Linked DNA regions of Drosophila melanogaster. The protein of the gene in region 1 interacts with the protein of each later gene in a biochemical or structural test. Each region holds a gene or a part of one and is shown in the gene's direction. Other genes may lie near its edges. The genes, in order: dpr14, DIP-epsilon and DIP-zeta.

Evidence for each region.
Region 2: the proteins of dpr14 (region 1) and DIP-epsilon form a complex in vitro, tested with the Drosophila melanogaster proteins (one study listed by BioGRID).
Region 3: the proteins of dpr14 (region 1) and DIP-zeta form a complex in vitro, tested with the Drosophila melanogaster proteins (one study listed by BioGRID).

The regions. Positions count from the first base shown.
Region 1 is NC_004354.4:7,902,916-7,910,677, reverse strand, and holds dpr14 (defective proboscis extension response 14), read left to right. Parts: upstream 1-2,391; 5' UTR 2,392-2,579; intron 2,580-2,643; 5' UTR 2,644-2,756; intron 2,757-2,863; exon of another isoform or gene 2,864-2,981; 5' UTR 2,982-3,339; coding exon 3,340-3,421; intron 3,422-3,731; coding exon 3,732-4,178; intron 4,179-4,251; coding exon 4,252-4,429; intron 4,430-4,496; coding exon 4,497-4,633; intron 4,634-4,683; coding exon 4,684-4,862; 3' UTR 4,863-6,974; downstream 6,975-7,762. Other genes in the region: spidey, read right to left, coding at 754-800, 1,141-1,306; bys (by S6), read right to left, coding at 7,130-7,280, 7,343-7,462, 7,519-7,762.
Region 2 is NT_033779.5:6,408,040-6,413,649, reverse strand, and holds the start of DIP-epsilon (Dpr-interacting protein epsilon), read left to right. Parts: upstream 1-2,323; 5' UTR 2,324-2,823; intron 2,824-5,089; 5' UTR 5,090-5,266; coding exon 5,267-5,405; intron 5,406-5,610. Other genes in the region: CG13982 (uncharacterized protein), read right to left, coding at 1-227, 284-469, 792-946.
Region 3 is NT_033779.5:9,067,843-9,073,385, reverse strand, and holds the start of DIP-zeta (Dpr-interacting protein zeta), read left to right. Parts: upstream 1-2,221; 5' UTR 2,222-2,554; intron 2,555-5,543.

The DNA.
Region 1 (7,762 bases):
CATATTTACGTACTTTTGGATAGTAAATTCTTAGGTCAGAGATAAAAAGCAATGGTGCTTTGGAATGGGAACACTGAACGTTTCTACCTAAAGCAGGAGTTTCAAAGACGAGTAACCCGTAGATTTTAAGAACAGGAAGTCATTTAAGTGTACTAAGCGTGTATATGAATAGAAATTGGGTGTGAACATTGAACCATTTTCTGTGCGTTCGACGCACGCCGAATGCTAATTTGGCACAAGCTTCGATCGGGGCCCTGTGCTCCACTCTATAAAGTAATTGCCATTCAGGGGACACGTGTTCCCTATAGCTTCTAGCTTCGTTTGCTCCAAGTCTGTGTATTACAAAATAAAACTGGCAAAAAAAAAAAAAAATTACCACAAAAGGTAGAAAAATCAACTGCGATTGCACTTTGTAAAAATAAATAACGAAAAGTACAAATGTAGCGATTTGCAGTCAAGCAAACACTATTAGGGACTGTTTGCGACTGGACTGTTGACTGAAGATCGATTTCAAAGTGCAGATTCACTTGGCTAATGCATTGGCGACCGCTAAACCAATGTCCAAGTCATCGTGGGCGACACTCAATTCGGTAATTAGTAATTACTAATTGCTCATTATTACTATCGTTTTTTGTTTGTTTGTTTGCTTGACCCGTTTCCCATTTTACTATAATCATCGGTCGAGCTTGGACGGACTTTGCTTGCGCTGGTCAAGATTGGGGCAGCCCTTCCATGTCATCTTTGTGTACATACCTCCTTGGCGTAGGCCTTGCCAATTCCATCGGTCGACCCGGTGACAACTGAAAGTCGAAAAAGTTAGCCAATAGTTCTGTGGGTTATCAGTGGATTTATGGGGCGTGGGGAACGATCTTATCGGTCACAGTGAAAAAAGTACTGAACTCCATTTTGGAAAGATATATAGTGTATTCCTTTAGGCAGTTAATGCAAAATTGGAAAACTTGAAAGTAGAGTGTTTGCAATTTGGAAATTCCCTTTCTTCACAATTTAATTGTAAAAGGGTCTTTAATCTTTTTAACTACACTTCTTTAGCAAACTTGCTATTCATTTTTTCACTGTGCACTCGGAATCGACCCCGTTTCCGCTCCTTTCCGGCATGTTTTTCCATGGCAACCGACTCACCTGCCCACTCGCCCATTTTGGAGAGATCCACCGAGGAGCCAAAGACCTTGGGGCCAACAACATTGGCGTAAATCCAGGGCAGGACCTTCCGGAAGACCTGGAAGCCCACGATTCCGATGGCCAGACCGCCCAGCAGGCTCAGCACTTGCGAGTTGTTCTCCTCCATGATGTTGATGATGGAGATTAGTGGTTCCTGGTTCCTGGTACTCCTAGGCAATGGTACCTATTGTATGTACTATATGGTGCGATTGCGATCGGTCGACTGCTATAGCCTCTGCCGGCTGATTAGTTTCTGATTCTACGATTTTCGAGCTGCAATGCCGAAATGGAAATGCTGACGCCGCTGCTTTTTTTTCGCCTCTGCCGACTGCGCTGCCTTTTCGAACTGTATTTGTGGTGTGTTGTAGTAATTCTACACACACACACACCCTTCGAAATCGCCACTGATTTTCGATTACTCGATTTATGTACGCGTGTTTTTTGCCTGATTTGTATTCCAAATGCGTTTTCTTTGAAAGGAGAAACTTAGGGTAGAAGGGGGAAAATAAAAACAAATGGAAAAAGCGATTGAATGTCAATTGTCAACGGCACAAAAGCAAATGAACGGTTCTTTTTCGTATCCATGTGCCCCCCTCAGAGGGGTGTGTGTCTGTGTTGTGTGCCCACTTATGTCATTTCATAGCGCTCACGCACACCACCAAAAAGCGAAAGATAAGGGCGGCTGCAAACAGTGAGCGCAAAAATTTATCACACCAAGAACCGTTATGTTGCACTAGCTGATTTTAAAAGAGGGATGAAATGTAAATTCAGCAATAGTTTTCCGCCTAAGGGTTCACAGGTTCATTACCGTATATCCTTCTTTTACTAGTCTATTAATTAGTTTATTTAAAAGCGAAAAAAGCATGCATATGTATATCATAGGAGGGCAGTGTAAGTTCTATGCTCTCACCAATACACGCCAGAATGGGGCAATCACCGAAATAGTCTGACTAATTTCCTGCACATGCGCAGGAAGCAGAAAGTGCGATAAACAATTTAACGCAGCGAATGCTACAATTAAAGTCGTTAAATATTTTTGATGTTTCTGAGTAAAGCCCGCTATATTAACGGTAAATTATTGATGGAGCGAGATGGCTATAGCGGATCGCGTATGTGCGAGGGTAATCCTTTGCCTATCGATAAATATCGGTTACTTATCGAATTTCGAATTTGAAGCTTAATTTGACAGTAAAAGAATGGTAGTTTATCTGTATTTTTACTCTAGGCTCTTAACAATTAGTAAAATACAGGTATTTCTGAGCTCAATCGCCCGATTTATTTGCATGCCGAGCTATACGGATTCAAAGGACCTTGTTTGGTGGGTAGAAATCCCTGGATTGCAAGAATGCCGAGAGAGATGCTGGCCTTTCGGAGCGGATTCAGTGCCGAAGCAAGTGTGGGTGAGGGAACAACAACGCCGAAGGACCGGCAAAAGCAACTTTTATATTGTTAAATATTTATCAGAACCATCCGCCGAAAAGAGCTTTTTTCCTGGACAAATGCAAACAAAAGAAGAAAAGAAAAGTCTTTTTCTTTTTAAAACAATCTTGAAGATTGCATTATTTTGAGCTTGAGAGGTGAGTGGCGTCTGCTATTTGTTGTTGTTGCTCGGGTAGAGGGATTCCTTCGGATGAAATAATAGGGATGCGGATGCTGGCCATGCGCAGAGCATGCCCTGACCTACATTCCCGTTTATTGGCCATCCGAGCAGCAGTTGCAAAAGGATAAATACACACGCAACACGAGCTGGTTAATAAGCGCTTTTCCGATTTTCCAATTGTCCGACATTCCTATCCCTCCAGCCTCCATCCGCGCGCTGAAAAGTGTGCAAAGAAATCAACAAAAAAGAGAAAAAGAAAAAGTAAATATACATATATAATCGAAAAGGACACTCTGAAAAAGAAGATACTTGAGTGCAATATGTCCAGCAATATTTTGCCGCAGGGCAATCGATAAGCGAAGCGAAGTGAAGTCCGTGGAATCATCGCTGGCGATGCAGTGGGACGCTGATGCAGTTGGACTTGGATCGATATAGAACAGTTTAGAGGGGCGTTCGTTCATATGTGCATATCCTGCGGCGAGTGGCGCCAGTCGATGCATCATCCCGCATCCTGTTACCGTATCCCGTAAGTCGGCATATGAAGACACTCCGCTGCAGTGATGAGATCGAGGCTGTTTTGGATACTGGCGATTATATACTCCTCACTCCATCACATCGGCTCGGGTTCCACGTCGACCACATGTGAGTCTCCACCTCATGCCTTAATCACATTGCAAACTTTTACCCAACTCAAACTTTGGCACTTTTAAGCTGAAGATTAAGTTCTTTTGTTTACTTTGCGGATTACCCAAGTGAAAAATGATTATTTTTTTTTATGTAAAACAATTATTTTACTACTTAGTGTGCAAGCATTATTCGAAACGAAATTATTGTTTTATTTGAGTTTTTCTTTTATACGTGATTTTAGCTGAGTGCATTTTATTTTTATATATTATATGATTTTCATATATATTTTAACTATATCTATTGAAATTGTTTTTTTTCGAACTAGTGAAACGACCGCGAGCTGGCGATCCATTCGACACGTTTCCGAAGAACTTCTGGCAGGAGTTCTCATCGCCGTTCACCGACACGCCCGAGGATGAGGAGCTGGAGGTCACCGAGACGACCACCCACGAGCCGTTCCCGTTCTTCGCCGATCCGTACACCACGCTGAACATCAGCACCCAGCTCTCGTCCAGCGTTTATCTGCACTGCCGGGTGAACGATCTGCAGGGCAAGACGGTGTCCTGGATGCGTCGCCGTGGCGATGATCTCACCCTGATAACCTTTGGCCAGCACACATATAGCGGCGACTCGCGGTATTCGCTGGAGTTCGAGGAGCCCAACGATTGGAAGCTGCTCATCCAGTTCGCCAACGAGCGGGACGAGGGTCCCTACGAGTGCCAGGTGTCCTCGCATCCGCCGCTCGTCCTGCTCGTTTACCTTACTATAATTGGTGAGCAACTGCTGTCGGCTTGCCAAGCAAAACCTGCTGATCCATGCTGATCTCATTCGTTGTCCATCCGCAGTTCCTCACGTGGAGATACTCGACGAGCGGGGCTCGGCCACGCCGGAGAAGTACTACAAGGCTGGCAGCACCATCGAGCTGCAGTGCGTCATTTCGAAGATTCCGCATCCCTCCTCCTATATCACCTGGCGGCACGGACCGCGCCTGCTCAACTACGATACTAGTCGCGGAGGAATCAGGTAGGATTTGTCGTATATGGTCTTAATAATCGTAAGTTAATTACCATGCATTTGATATCATTTGCAGTGTCAAGACGGACATGCTGCCAGGACGAGCTCTGAGTCGCCTGTATATCGCCAATGCCAATCGCCAGGACACGGGCAACTACACCTGCATGCTGGGCAATGAGATTACGGAGACGGTGGTGGTGCATGTGCTGAACGGTAAGTGTGCAAACTCCCCTTGGCTATTCATATAGAATCCGGAATTCCAGGTGAGGAGCCAGCCGCCATGCAGCATGCGAACGGAAGCCGCCAAAAGGCCAACGCCTCCACAATGGTTGTGTTATTTCTAGTGTACGTTTGCATCTCCGGTTCGATTTCCGTAGCCGGAATGAATCGGGGATTGGGCTTGGGACAAGTGTGGGGATGGGGATGGGAATTAAGACGATGACGACGCAGCCTAATCCGGGGATCGTAGATCCTAGATTGTGTCGCGGGAAATGCATATACCAAAAGAGTCTTGTCCAGGATTGCATTTTCGACTTTTACTCTAATCATGGGTTGTTTAACATACGATACATAGCATAAACCGAATATTAAGCTTAAGGTCAAGTGTATTTAAAAAGAAAAAAAAAGGCGGAAATCGAAAGCTCGAAAGCAAAACCAAACAAACCAAAAAAAAGAAAACGGAAATGAAAGTGAAATGAAAAACTCGTACTAGTAAGGGCGTACGCGAAATATAGATGAGATATTGATTTTTAGCGCTAGAACATAACATTATTAGTATCATAATCGAATCGAATTGTACTACCAAACGGCCGTGTTTATGTTGGCTAACATATTGATCTTATATACAAACATGCACATTATTGCATCTAACGTATCCATTTAGCTCTTTGTTACCTCCACGTCATTATGGATATATGTACATGCATGCATACCTAGATTTGTAAGGTCCAAAGTTTAAAGCATAATTTTTTCTCACTCGGACGGATCGCCTTCCAAAGGTCGCGCATCACCGAAATATTAATATTTCCACAACGCTCGTGTGTATTCTATATCCCGATTAACGTATAGTATACACCTCCGATCCAAGGCCTTGTTAATGAAAATATGGTTGTAGCTTCTTGAAATCAAACAGCATATCAGTTGGGATCATTCTAATCGTAATCAATAATAATCAATACCGAACAAAATCGTACTTCATTTATCCCTAATTTTCAGTCCTTGATTTTTTTTTCGTCCTTGTCCATGTCCTTGTCTCAGATTTTTTGAATACTTAAGTGCATCGATAACTGGAGGAGAGCTAGAGAGGTTGTTAAATTATTAAATAATTCGAAACATTATATGTGCGTGAGCTTGATCAGTAGTTGGGTTTTCCTCAGTTTATCCACGATCTAGAAATGTAAATGAGAAACACTTAGGAAATGTTTAACGTTAACAAAACTGTGCCATTCAAAATGGATACATATCGTTTAATTGTTGTTAATTCGGTTGCGGAACCAATGACCATTTGAGGCAAAACCAATTAATTGTATATTTGTATCTTTTTCAAGTCGAAAACACAACACAACTCGGACCAATGGGTAAATACTTGATTCTTTGATTGAAAACGGTCCCTAAAAACCAAAATCAAAATCGAAATTGAAATCGAAAACCAAAACCGTAATCCCTAAAAGTAATTCAATTAAACGAAATAAATCACGATCAAGAACAAGAAGCAAATGAATACTTGCCACTTTCATTTCTCGAATTGGGCGTAAGGTGCGGACCCTTCATTCGGTATGCACATAGCCAATGCTCACTGTACCCTTCCCCCACATGCGAGTATATCAGTTTATGTCTAAGGCTTTAGCTTTCGCTTCAAACGATCATCGCCTATGTATTTAAAGCCCCGAAAAACTTTCGATATCCTTACTCACTGACGGCATTCCAAATTCATATTGCTTTTAAGATCGGTTATTATATACAAACATACCCACGCTCTCTTTACAAATTGTATTTCGAAATCAAAGCTCAGCTTGAAAACACACAAAAAAAAAAACGGAAAAAAACAGAAGTAAGCAAATTTAAGAAACGAAATTATTGATAAGGCTTGAGGCCTAAGTACTTGGGTAAACTAATTTCAAATGGTCCAGTGTAGTTATTGTAAATTATTCAAATTGATCCCGACCCGAATCGGTCCTTGGAGTATGCCCTTAAATAACACAAATGAAAAACAGAACAGAATAAAACAAAACAAAACAAAACAAGACAAATGTTGGAGTGAGATAACGAAACAATACTTAGAGACTAATAAAAAGTGACGAAACGAAACTTTTAGAAAGATTTTGGTTACAGAATTATATTTAATAATTACTACATTTAAAATTGAGATTATAAAACTACATACATACATAATGTATAACGCGGGCGTCTGGTCAATATGGCCGATGCGACTGCGACGGCGCCAAAAGATACCGTCATTGTCAAGCAAAAAACCAAAAGCAACTAAAACTTAATGCAAAATTGTATAAAAAAAAAACCACACACAAACACACACATTTGTTTTTTCTATTAAAACATTCAAAACATCTGAAGTGGCTTTCATTTTCCCACAGAATAAACATCTGCATTTGATTTTCACTGCATATGTAGGTATATTTACATATTTAACGACTATCCGATATTAAATAGTAAAACAATATCATCTTAAAGTTATCCTTAATTTACACCGCCTCAGCCCTCGTACTCCACATCGGCATCTGTGTACATCTTGGCTGGCTGCCCAGCCAGGCCATTATCCGTCTCCATCATTTCCACATCGCGACAACTGGCCGCCTGGAGCTCCCTTCTCACATCGGGTGTAATCTTGAAATGGCTCTTCTTTCTGCAATTGTGATTTACAGTTACTAACAGTTCTAGGGTTTCAATAGCATTCGATTTACTTACTTGAGCAGCTGCAGCAGTGCATCCCGCTGTTCGGAGGATATATCGTTCTTGTATCGCTGGGCAAAGGTGAGCAGGCTCTGGTGCCATAGCACTGGTAACTCACGCTTGTCGTTCTCGAATCTGCAAGAAACCATGTTATTTCGATTTCTAAAAGGCATTGTAGTGAGAATACCAACCTTAGAAAATGAAAGACTGCGGCATCCACGACGCGATAAGGCAGAGCATACCGCTTGTCCAGAAAGTAACGGATGAATATGGAGTTAGCTCCCGAATAGGCCATCTCACAGATCTTCAGCAGGCAGGCGGAGGAGTGCAGGACGGGAATAGAGCTGCGGGCCACCACACTGCCGAAAATGATGGCCTCGCGCAATGTGCAATCGCCGCCCTCGAGCAGCGGCAGAATGATTCCCTTCATGAAGG
Region 2 (5,610 bases), on another chromosome or scaffold:
TTGGTGGCGTTGGTGGCAGCTCCTTGGGCACCTGCTGGCACTGGTACTGATACTGCCGCAGCTGTGAGTACTCGTGTTCCCACTCGAGATCCAAGGAGGAGCTGGCCCGCGAGTTGGCCATGCGCTGGTAGGCTCCAAGTCCCATCTCCGTCTCCCGACTGGGCGTGGTCTGGGCGTTGAGCAACTTGCCGGCGTCCAGGTTCTGCATTTGAATGTCCGCCATGGCGCTGCAAGGATTAAGTTGGTTTTATTTCTAGGAGGCACCTTAGGAGACTTAACATACGTGGTCGGCAGCTTGGCGTAGCTGGGCTGCTGCTCCCAGTACTTGTCCAGGAAGCTGGGACACTGCTGCCTTTTCTTGAGCCGCAGGATGCGGTAGATGAATCCGTTCCGTTGGCAGCGCTGCCTGGTGGTCCTCGATAAGAGATCTGCCTCTGGATCTTGTCTTCCTGCAGATCTGTTCTTTCGCCTAGAAGATGAAAGATACCACTTTTTATTAAAGATGTTTTTAATAATTATTATAAAGTAAAAGCTTTTGTTAACTCTTAAAGAATATCACATATAACTAGTATTTACTGTTTACGTATTTGGTTGCAGTAAGCACCCACTTGGGCGGGAAGCCCGCCTGTGGCACATTGTTTTGTGGCAACCAGCGGCCGTTGCATAGTTTTAGGCTGTTGACCCCCAACTAGCCAATTCCACCCCGTGCTTAGCCACTATTGATTGGTCAGCGGATTTGCGCGCGAACGAAAGTCAGCGGAGTTGAGCTTCAACTAATTGGCCCCACTCACCAGAGCCAGCTGTTGGCCACCCAGGACGTGGGGGGAGTTGTCAGTGAAGACGACGTCGAGGAAGTCGAGTGGGTGGTGGAGTCGGACGTTGAGGTGCAGGCGGAGTGGGCTGGTGCGGCGGCAGCTGTGGCACAGCTGCCAAGGCATGAACCCATGGAGAAGGGGCTGCTCCTGTCGCTGCTACAAGATCCTTGCTGGCTTCGATGCGGCTGCACTTGGCATTTCACGTCACTTTTTCGCCAGCCAGGCGCCACATTTCATTACGCTCGGGTCAAGGCTCCGCGGTGATGGCCCCTTCCCGTGGGCTTTCCGATTACCCTTTTGGACTCCGGAGCCCCTTTCAACGCAACTCCACACACTCCGCGGCACAGAGCGTAACTGTTTTTCATGCGCCGAGTGCGTCGACGTCAGTGAGTGACGGTGACGCCCCCACGCTTTCTTGGCTAAATGCTCCGTAAGCCTAGTGACGGAGTTTCTGTTTGGCCCTGCAGCAGTTGGGTGGTGGGTGGTGGCCACCTTTTGAGAGTCAGCTGTTTCGACTGAGTGTTGTGGCTTTCGCGTTTTGCGCTGTCAAGTGGCTAAAGTCAACAGGAGAGCAAAGCGTCTTGTGACAGGAGCTTTCGTCACTACTTAAAGCTTAGACGGACGCTCAAAGTTAATAAATTCACGGCACGGAGCGCTTTCGACTAGCAGTAGCTTTATCAGGGGTAATAACGGGAAATGTTAGGGTATTGCAGGACCGACATGATGAAGCTTTGCTTGGGGTGTAAAATGGGAAATGTTAAGGCTTGTAGGACCAAATTGTGTGAGCTTTGTTAGGGGTTATAAAGGGAAATGTAGAGCAAAGAAACCAAGTTCTTTTATAAATTTCTCTTTAATGAAGTTTGTATTGCAGCATCCTCTTCTTAAGATAGCGATGTTAACAGCAAGCTAAAGAAGTCTTGCCTTTTGAACTCTGACATTTATGGTCACAGAACTTGGAAATGCGTTTGCAGTCCCTAGCTGTAAATGTGTTAAAGTGCTAAGCTATTATTCCATTATGCCCGCTCAAAGACCAAGTAACAAATGTTCAATGATTAGCGAAGATGAAAAACATGTTTTCACTGTAAGACAGATGAGGGAGTTTTGAGGGATAACTCAAAAATGCTTACACAAGTGATACGCCCTGCTCTATTATGTTCAGAAAGAAATAATACGTTTCTTTATTTAGCTCACATATGCACATACTAATACTGGAAATTCTGCGACCTTTGGCTTTTCTCACATTTTTTCTCTCACATGATGAACATAAAATTTAACCCGCCGCATTAGCTGACGGAACGGATAGTGGAGTGGTGCATTAAAACACTCGGCGGATCGTTGGATTGATTGTTCGCTGTTTTCGGGGCTGTTAGTAGCAGAAAGTGCTGTTTGGCTCTGCAGCCAGGGCTATAAACATATGTAAGCTAACATAAATCACGGCCAACCGCAACATTTGTTTATCTTTTTAACATGCCGCAGCCGAAGTGAATCGCACGACGGGATGCTGCTGCCAGTGTGAAATCGGCTGTCGTTTCGTTCGGTTGTCGTTAGTCTGCGGTACCGCATCCGCATCAGTATTCGCAGTCGCAGTCGCAATCGCTTTTGAATCCCGAACCCGAATCGGTAACGGTATCAGAACCAGAATCGGTTTCGTTAGACGTGCGTGGACGTGGTCTTTCTTATTTGCACTGGCCAAATAGTTTAAAATAGTATTTTCGATTGGCATTAGTGGCGGCGAATGGTTGTTGTAAATCAACTGCTGTGAGTGCTTTTATTCGATATCCCATGCCATTTATGCACCTCCGCTGCCCACCGGAGGAGCTGCTGGCTTTGTGACGGCGTCTGTGTGTCTGCCGCGTGGTCCCCTAATTTAGTTATGTTGCAAAAACGGAGAACGGCAGAGGGAAACATGAAAATCCGTTGTTATGTTGTCTCGCTGCTCTATTTATAAATTGATTTGCTGATTCCTGCCGACATCTGACGCCCCATCCAGCAGCCAGACATTGCCACGGTGAGTTATTAGTTTCTGGAAGCAGGGCGACATCGGATGGAGGAGAACGAAGTTGCAGATGGGGCATCATTGAATAGTGAGTTCGCAGGATGGCCTGTTTAGGGAGCTGCATCTTTTACAAAGGATCCTTCCGAATTGGTTTACATCTGCTGGGAGAAGCTGTGCAGGCAATTGATTGCACTTTGAATGTTTCATTAGCCGGCTTTCAAAATAATGCGAATTGTATGCAAATCTAACTTCAAATTTAATTTTCTTTTTGTTTCATTTATGAAACTAAGTACTAAATGCGTAGCAAATTATTATTATTATTTACATGGCCAATGGCATCCTCGTAAAGACCAATATCTACTTGTTTAAATTAAACCATCCTCTGTCTTTATTTCCAACTTAAATTGTGCGTTTCCAGTTCCCGCGGCACAGTCTGACTCAGATATTTATATATCTTCCTGACGGCCGTCTACGTGGTGGCAATGTGCACCGAAGTGCAAAAGCCGGCTACTATATATGTAAACAAACGTGCAGAAATCTGCAATGATTGTCCGATCGAAAAGATTAATATACCGTGGAATGAAATCGTTTTAAGAGGTAATACGAATTTACGATGCGCTGTTTGCGGTTAGTGTGAAATTGAAGTTTTATGTTCACTTCAGTAATAAATAAACACAATCGTCATTAAAAAGTTAGCTCTAAAGATCGAATCCTTTGGGTGACACAAGCACTTGGTTGAATTCCCTGTGCTGTGGAAAAGAAAAGAAATAATAATTATAATTAAATAATTAATTTCATTTTGATTGATTGATTCGGTTCGGTGTGATTATAGTGCAGAAAGGAAGCACTCCTTTCTCATGCTATACGTACTTTTACCCGAAGAATACGATAGAAGATTTCTGCGCCACGGGCTTGTTGCTATTATTCGTTATTCATTTTTGCGTGTGAAAGGAAATGTAAATTGATTTATTATGCAAAAGCGAGTAAATGCTCCCTAGGAGACGGAAAGACAGAGCAGAAGTCAGACCGGCGGAGCATTCACCGCTGGCTCCTTTTCATCATGCGGCTACATCACTTCGAAGATGTGGGAAATATCCTTTCTGTCTGCGGGGCACAAACATTGCTGTTTACAATGATTTAAATGCATTACGAATTCACGGTCCATTTACATTTCGCGGTTAGTTCTATGGATGCAACAATCGTCGTCGCGTGAAAATACACCAGACAATACATTTTGGTGTACCAAACTATCACGTATTTATGTCATTCATACAATAATACATATATTTTTGACCATCAGTTGGTTGCTTATCAATCAGGTGAACTTTGGGTCATTAACGCTTAAATCTAAAAAACACATTTTATAAGAAACAAAATTGAATCTTATAAGATGTCAATGGTTCACTAAAATCTTCCTCAGCATAACGTTCAAAATCTTTGTTTAGATATCACAACCAAAATGAATGTTAAGTCGGCCGGCTTAGAAATCAATTAAGTTTGCAATTCGGTTTCAATAACCCTTACTTAATGGAAAATCCACAACAGCTGTCCCCAAGGAGGCATTCTAATTGAAATGCATTCATATTGCAATAGAATGAAGAAATTGACGAGACTGGAAGGACCTCCATGGGTTTACTTGACTGCCGTAGCCGGAGTGTAAAACAACAGCTGACAGAGCAAATTGCTTTTCGCTTATGACACGAGCAGGAATTAAAAACAAGGAAAAAATTCTTCTATGCATGCATGCAGCAAAACAACCACGAAAAGGAAGCTGATAATTCTGATGGTGACGATAACGTTGTCCCTGGCATTTGAACGGATTTGAGGTCGTTCGGAGACTTAGGGTTCGTCACTGCTCTGATATCTTCCTAATGCTGATCCTCTTTATTGAAAACTCCTTAATCCGTGAAAAAGATGCAAGCCAGGTGTGGGTCTGGTTAAAATGGCTCATAAAAATCTTAAGCATAAAAAATGGTGTGTCCGCTCGTCTGTCCGTATGTATGATATACAAAATCTCTTCAACTATTATAAATTTGAAAGCTTAGATTAAAGTTTATAAGATATGATTAAGTACGGTTGTAATCAATAAGCCGTGTAAAGGGTATGGGATAGCCGTGTAACACGAAAACAGGTCTCATTCCTTGCGGTAAATGGAAAATTGAGCAATGACAAATTAAATGTACACTTAAGCCTAAAAGCATGAAGCCATGTATAATTTCTTTTTTTTATTAATATTTTCATCAATAATGGCAACCTATAATTTCTCCTCATATTTCAGGGGTAGCGTGCATAAAAGCCAATCGCAATTAAACGTTGATCGATTCCAAAAGCAAACACAACATGAGCCGGAATATACTGTAATGCTGCACAATATTTGTACGCAATAAATAATTAAGTTTTCTTAATTGAAAAGCTAAACAACGGTAAAAAAAAGGGGCATCAAACTTACAGCAAAATGGCATACCACCTCGAAGCGATTTCTTCGTTTCTGTATGTGGGCCTTGGTTGCCTGATTGCCTCCTCTGTGGCACTAAGTACAGATACTGGAAGTGAAGGCAACGCCGGTAACGTCGGTGGCTCAACCCTAAATAATGGTGAGTAAAAATAATATTTAGGAAATTAATGTTATGTCCTTTATTATAATTATACTTATTGTATCACGAAAGGAAAACCAAAAAATTCTGTTTAAAATTATACTTCATTCTATAGCAAACAATATAGTTAAAATGTTTGCTGCAGATTGCTCTTTTTTGGGGTTTTTAAATGCAGGGAACGATAATAATAAGTATTTGTATTAAT
Region 3 (5,543 bases), on another chromosome or scaffold:
TGAGTGTGAAAATTGCTGGAAAAATGAATGCATGCTTATGGGGAGTTGGTTTTAAATCCATTCCATTTTCGCCTCCGCTGGGAAAATGGAAATGCGACGTCAGCCTGCGGTTTTTTCAACCCTCAAAATTACGTGATGTTATTACGTTTGTTGGCCATAAAAGGGTCTACAAATCTCCGCCCATTAAACTTTCGATTCTCATCTTTAATCTTGTTTTATTACTCGGTCGGATTTTCGTACATGTATTGTTTTGTTTCCTAAACTCAAATATCCCAAATATAAATCTTACCAGACAAGCCGGGGCAAAACTTTGCCGATAGTATTCCCCAAACTATTTTACCTCATTTGGGCAGTCCTTAGCAGAGAGACTAGACTGCAGGGCATACTTAACCAAAGTCGCAGACAAACTGCAAAAGAAATTGTGAATATATCTACACAGGAAAACAGGAACCAAACTTTCCATTTTCAATTTGCTGCAGACTTTGGCTAAGTACCAGAGAAGGAGGTCCAATATTTCCGACCGGTTTTGTATACTTTTTTTCCATTTTGTTTAGCTCTGTCTACTTAAACTCGCATTGAACTGGAAGAATAACATTGAACAGCAAACAATCAGCAGTCAAAAATTTCATTGTTAAGGCGGCAGCGGGAAAAAATAGCAAAACAAGTAGAGGGGAAAAACAGGAAACTTTCGGACAAGGCGTGAAAAATACAAAAAGACTGGGAAAGAGAGAAAAAAACTTTTTCCATGGTGAGAAAAACTTTACAAAGCAGCCAACAAAGTGTTGTAATGGCTGGCATCCAAAGGGATCCCCCGTCCAACGCTTGACTTTTGACCCAACGAAGCGAATGTGTTGCAACGACCTTTGTGGCCTTTCCGCCTCCGCCTCCTCATTCGCCATCACCTAATCCACCCGCTCCACCCACTCTTCCTGTTTTGGTCACATCCTGGCGCAACAGTCGACCACGCCCACTCGCCGCCCTATCACCTCTGGGATTCCCCCCACAATGAACTTGCCAAGCGATGGTGCACGTTTCTCCTTGGGTGTGTGGTGTGTAGAGGAATCCCAGGGAGAGGGTCACAGAGCAGTCATCTTGTCTGCCGTCTAGCCTTGTCAGTTTTAATGTTTTTGGCATTGAGCGATGTCTGTGATTTGAAAGAGTTCATTAAGATAGTTCAGTATGGCCAACAGGGAGAATTCATCACTCTCATATCGCATACAATCCGTCTATATATAGACTAACTTTCAGACGGATATGCATCGTTTTTTTTTCCTTCTGCACAACTGACCAGTGCTTGTCGAGATGATTACAGTGCCCTTAAAACAAGGTCTAGTTAAAAAATAGCAAAACTTTTTTCGTGCACCTAATTTAATAGGATAAAATCATCATGAAATACTTCAAAAAATAAGTAACTAAAAATATTATCTGTCTAACCATTCAAAAATACCACTGTTAACTTTGAAAAGAACTTCTTAATTAACCGTCTACCAACTGACAACCAGCTTTGCTAGCTCAGTCAGTCATAAAACGCAATTATCACCCTCAATTAGATGGTCCTGCATCAGCGAAAATCGAATAAGCAACGCTTGCAAATTGAATATCTCAAATTAATTGCACTTTTTTCGCTCAACATACGCACATGGACTTGAAATGAAATGCAAATAAATTTAATTAACTTGTCTAATTAAATACTTGGCTCCAAATAGCAATATGCAGCAACCAACGGAAAGCAAAAATGTGTTTTGATTTTGTTTTCATTTTATCTTAATTCAATTATTATTAAAAGGGTACAGCTTCAGCCGGAACGAGCCAAAAAGGTTCGACGGCGGAATCGGCATGCAACTCGAACTTTGAGAGGTGATTTTGGGGCATGGTGTTGCAGGTTGGACTCTGTTAACATTTTTGTCGCGTGTTTTGCGGTCTGTTGTTGTGGTTGCGGTTGCACGCAAACAACAAGCCTCCGAACATAACAAGGATACCGGACATAACCAGCAACCGGCAGCAACAACTACCAATGAACAGCATCCAGCGTCCTTTGGTTGGCTTAAACCGAAGCTACACTTCGGCTCGCTCTGTCGGCCGTCGGCTCGTCCCCGCCTGTTATCACTCGGCCAACGCGGCGTATACGTAACAGCACTTCCCATTCGTTAGATTTTCCCTTATTGTTGTTGGTGGAAAGCCAGAGCCCGGCTCTGTGCGAGCATTAGGTTTCGTCGGCAAATCAGTTTCGCTACGGATTCTGCACGAAGCGGACGCGTTTTATCGGTGTTACACTGAAAGATCCCCGGCAAAGGGAAAGTCGTACTCAAGTGTCATGTGATCGATGCCAAATTAGAAGCACCTGACTCAATGTGATCGTGTTGAGAAATGACTTAAAAGTCGAGCTAAAAAACTTAGGTCCACTTGATTATAAAATTTAAAAAAATACCAAAACTTGTAAGCGTTTTATTGAAAGATTACAATTTGTAAAAGTGGTTGAAAACTTGGTATATCATACGTAACACAAAACTAACCTACAGAATTAAATATTCACAAAAATATTCTTGTAGTTACAGTATGTAAATTAATTATTTCAATACATGCAATTCATACTATTAAGGTCTTAAACAGAAGAACAATTTGATCATCGGAAAAGTCTTTTTTATTAATAATTCATAGAATAGAATAGAAACTTTATAAAAATATGGAATTTTAAATTTAACAAACTTTAGATATTATTTATAAATATCAGTGACAGAAGTATATTAAATCGAAAGTTCCAACAATTTTTAAAAGTGCGAGTGCCGGTTAGGATAAGTAATTATAAGCTATGTTAAAAATTGAAAATGCAATAAGGAGTTGGTTTAATGCGTTTGTTTCGTTACGCTATATATTATATTTATGTATAAAATCTTAATTACAATATATAATGTAAAAGGTTTATGTTTGGGACTGCAGATCATTCAAATGCAATTAAAGACTTCGATTTATCTTAGTGCGAGTATTTCAAATAACTGAACTCCATTTAATGGTTAACCACAGCTACAATCCAGACCACAAACTCACATGTCACTTGTCAGGCCCTCGAAATGGGTAAACAATTAACAGTTAACTCTGCTAATGCACATTTCATGCCAACAAAAAGTAAACAAACAGCGAGACTATCTCCAGGACCCTCGAAGTCCTTAAATCCCGAAAACTGGCAGACACGCACACAACGCCATTCTTCAATCTGTGAAAAATTCCCAAACAAACTTATATGCGAATAAATGAATCCACTAGAGTTCACTTTGGGACAACTCGCAAAAAAAATAGTCGAAGGGGAAATTTGTTGCGATTGATAAAGGACAGCAGTTGTTGCCACTGCAACGCAATGCACAACACACAAACACAACCGAAAACAGCAAGGCAAATATAAACAAAGAATTTAGCTTAAAAATACATTAACCCACTGCATCCATGAGAATCAGGATATGCAGGGAAAAGGGCCAGGACCCGACTGCCAACTGCTGAAAACTTGCATACTTAATGGAGTAGGAGATAGAGACAGACAACGCAGAGAGTACAGTGGGGCCTATGTGTTACTGGACACAACTGTATTCCAAATGCAGAATAAGTCTTTGAGTATGAATATTGTCAAAGCTCATTGTAAACGTTTCTTAGCATTTTGTTACAATTTATTAAAAAAAAAAAATATTAAAGAGAAATATTTAATTACAGTATACAACATTGGAAACTAATAGAAATTGTTGTAAAAATACTTTACATAATTTATTCAATATACCAAGACTTAGAATGGATCCACCACTAATATCAATATATCGGTTCTTATGGTCCAAATATTTTAATTCCATTTAATATATAATTAAGATTTAAATTATTTCATATTTATAACATATGTGAAATGATTCATTTTGTTGGGTATCCACTGTACAATGGTATGTTTTGCATTCAGGCATCATTGCAGATCAATGGCAATATGGAGCTGATACAGTTTGAGTAAGACACGTAAACACACAGAGCAGAAGAAGGATGGGAAACTCATGGATGTCAGCTGTTTCAGAACTTTTTTCAAAAGCTAGTGAAGAGAGGGCTTATTGGTTCTTTATTTATTTCCATCTTTTTTGAATTCTTTTTTGAGTTCAGCTTTGTTGCGTTTTGTTTGCTCGAGTTCGGTTTGACGTTTGCAGTTACAGGAACTTTACAAATTGTGTAGAGTAAAACAAACAAAATAGCAAAACTTTGATGCTGCTGATGATGATGTCGAAAATATGTGTGAGCTTTGATCATAAGTGCATATTTATTGGTGCGTTTATTTGGTAAATTTAGTTTCTATATTGCACTTCTGAAAATATAATAGAGTACTTTATCCAGATAAAATCAGAGTTAAATTGAGTCTAGTTAAGCTTGTATTATCCGAATAAATAGTAACGTGAACTAACGAATTTTCGATAAGGGAGAGATGTAAGTCCTTAAATAAAACCAAATTAAATCGGAATTTTATTTTCATGTATTTGTATTGTTTGCTGCCAAAATATAAGTGATAGGTAACAGGCACAACCTTTCTAGCTTGCTTCTTCTTTGAAGAACCTTTTAATGTAAATAAATTCGGCCATAGGTAAACATATCTTAATTCAATTTCGGCCTCCTTTGTGCTGCTTTCTTTTCTCCCTTCAATTACCACAAAACCATGAAGGTTAAAAGCTGTCAGGCATTTATAGAAGCTTAGGAGAAATCCCCTGAGAGCTAGGAACATTTTTTTTGGGCTAATGACTATGTCAGGATTAATTTACGTTTACACAGAATCTTTTAAAAAGAAAATTTAAACACCCAATAAAAAATATTATAATGGCTATGAACTTAGTCAGCATAAACAAATAAATGTTATTGTCTCTTTCATCTACGCACCCGTTTAGTTAAGTCCCTTTAATCCCGCAACAATTATAAGCCAATTTGTTTTACCAAAAAGTTATCATTATAAAAACAGCAAAAACCAAACAAACACTAAATAGCCCCATTAAAATTTAATTTCCTAGCATAAAAATACAAGAAAAACACATTCGGAACAAGTTTCTCCCTCAACAATTTATTAATTTAATTACAAACACTTTGCCAAACTCATAAAAAAGTGCATAAAATTTGTTGGACTTCTTGTTCTTGTTTCTGATGGTAAATCTGTTTCGGTCCATACCAAAAAAGCTTTATCATGTGTGCGTGGTTTTTGGGGGAAGAGGTGGAGTCAAAATTGCTTAATTTCATAAGCGAGTCATAAGGGAAAAAGTTTTGTCTCTGTGTAAGTGTTTCGCAAGCTGCGTGTGGACCCCCTAAATAGCTGAAGGCGACACGCTCAAAAGCCATAAAAAATACAATTTTTAAGAGAAAGTTTTGAATGAGATGGCCAAGAAACAGCAACCAGAGTAGAGGACTGCGCGTGACACAACTATATTTCAAAGACCTATGAATTTAAACTACAATATCAGACACATATCGACATGTCCAATGAAAATATTACCAGTAAAATTAAAAAAATTTTTAAATTCGATTTTCTAAAATAAAGTGTCTAT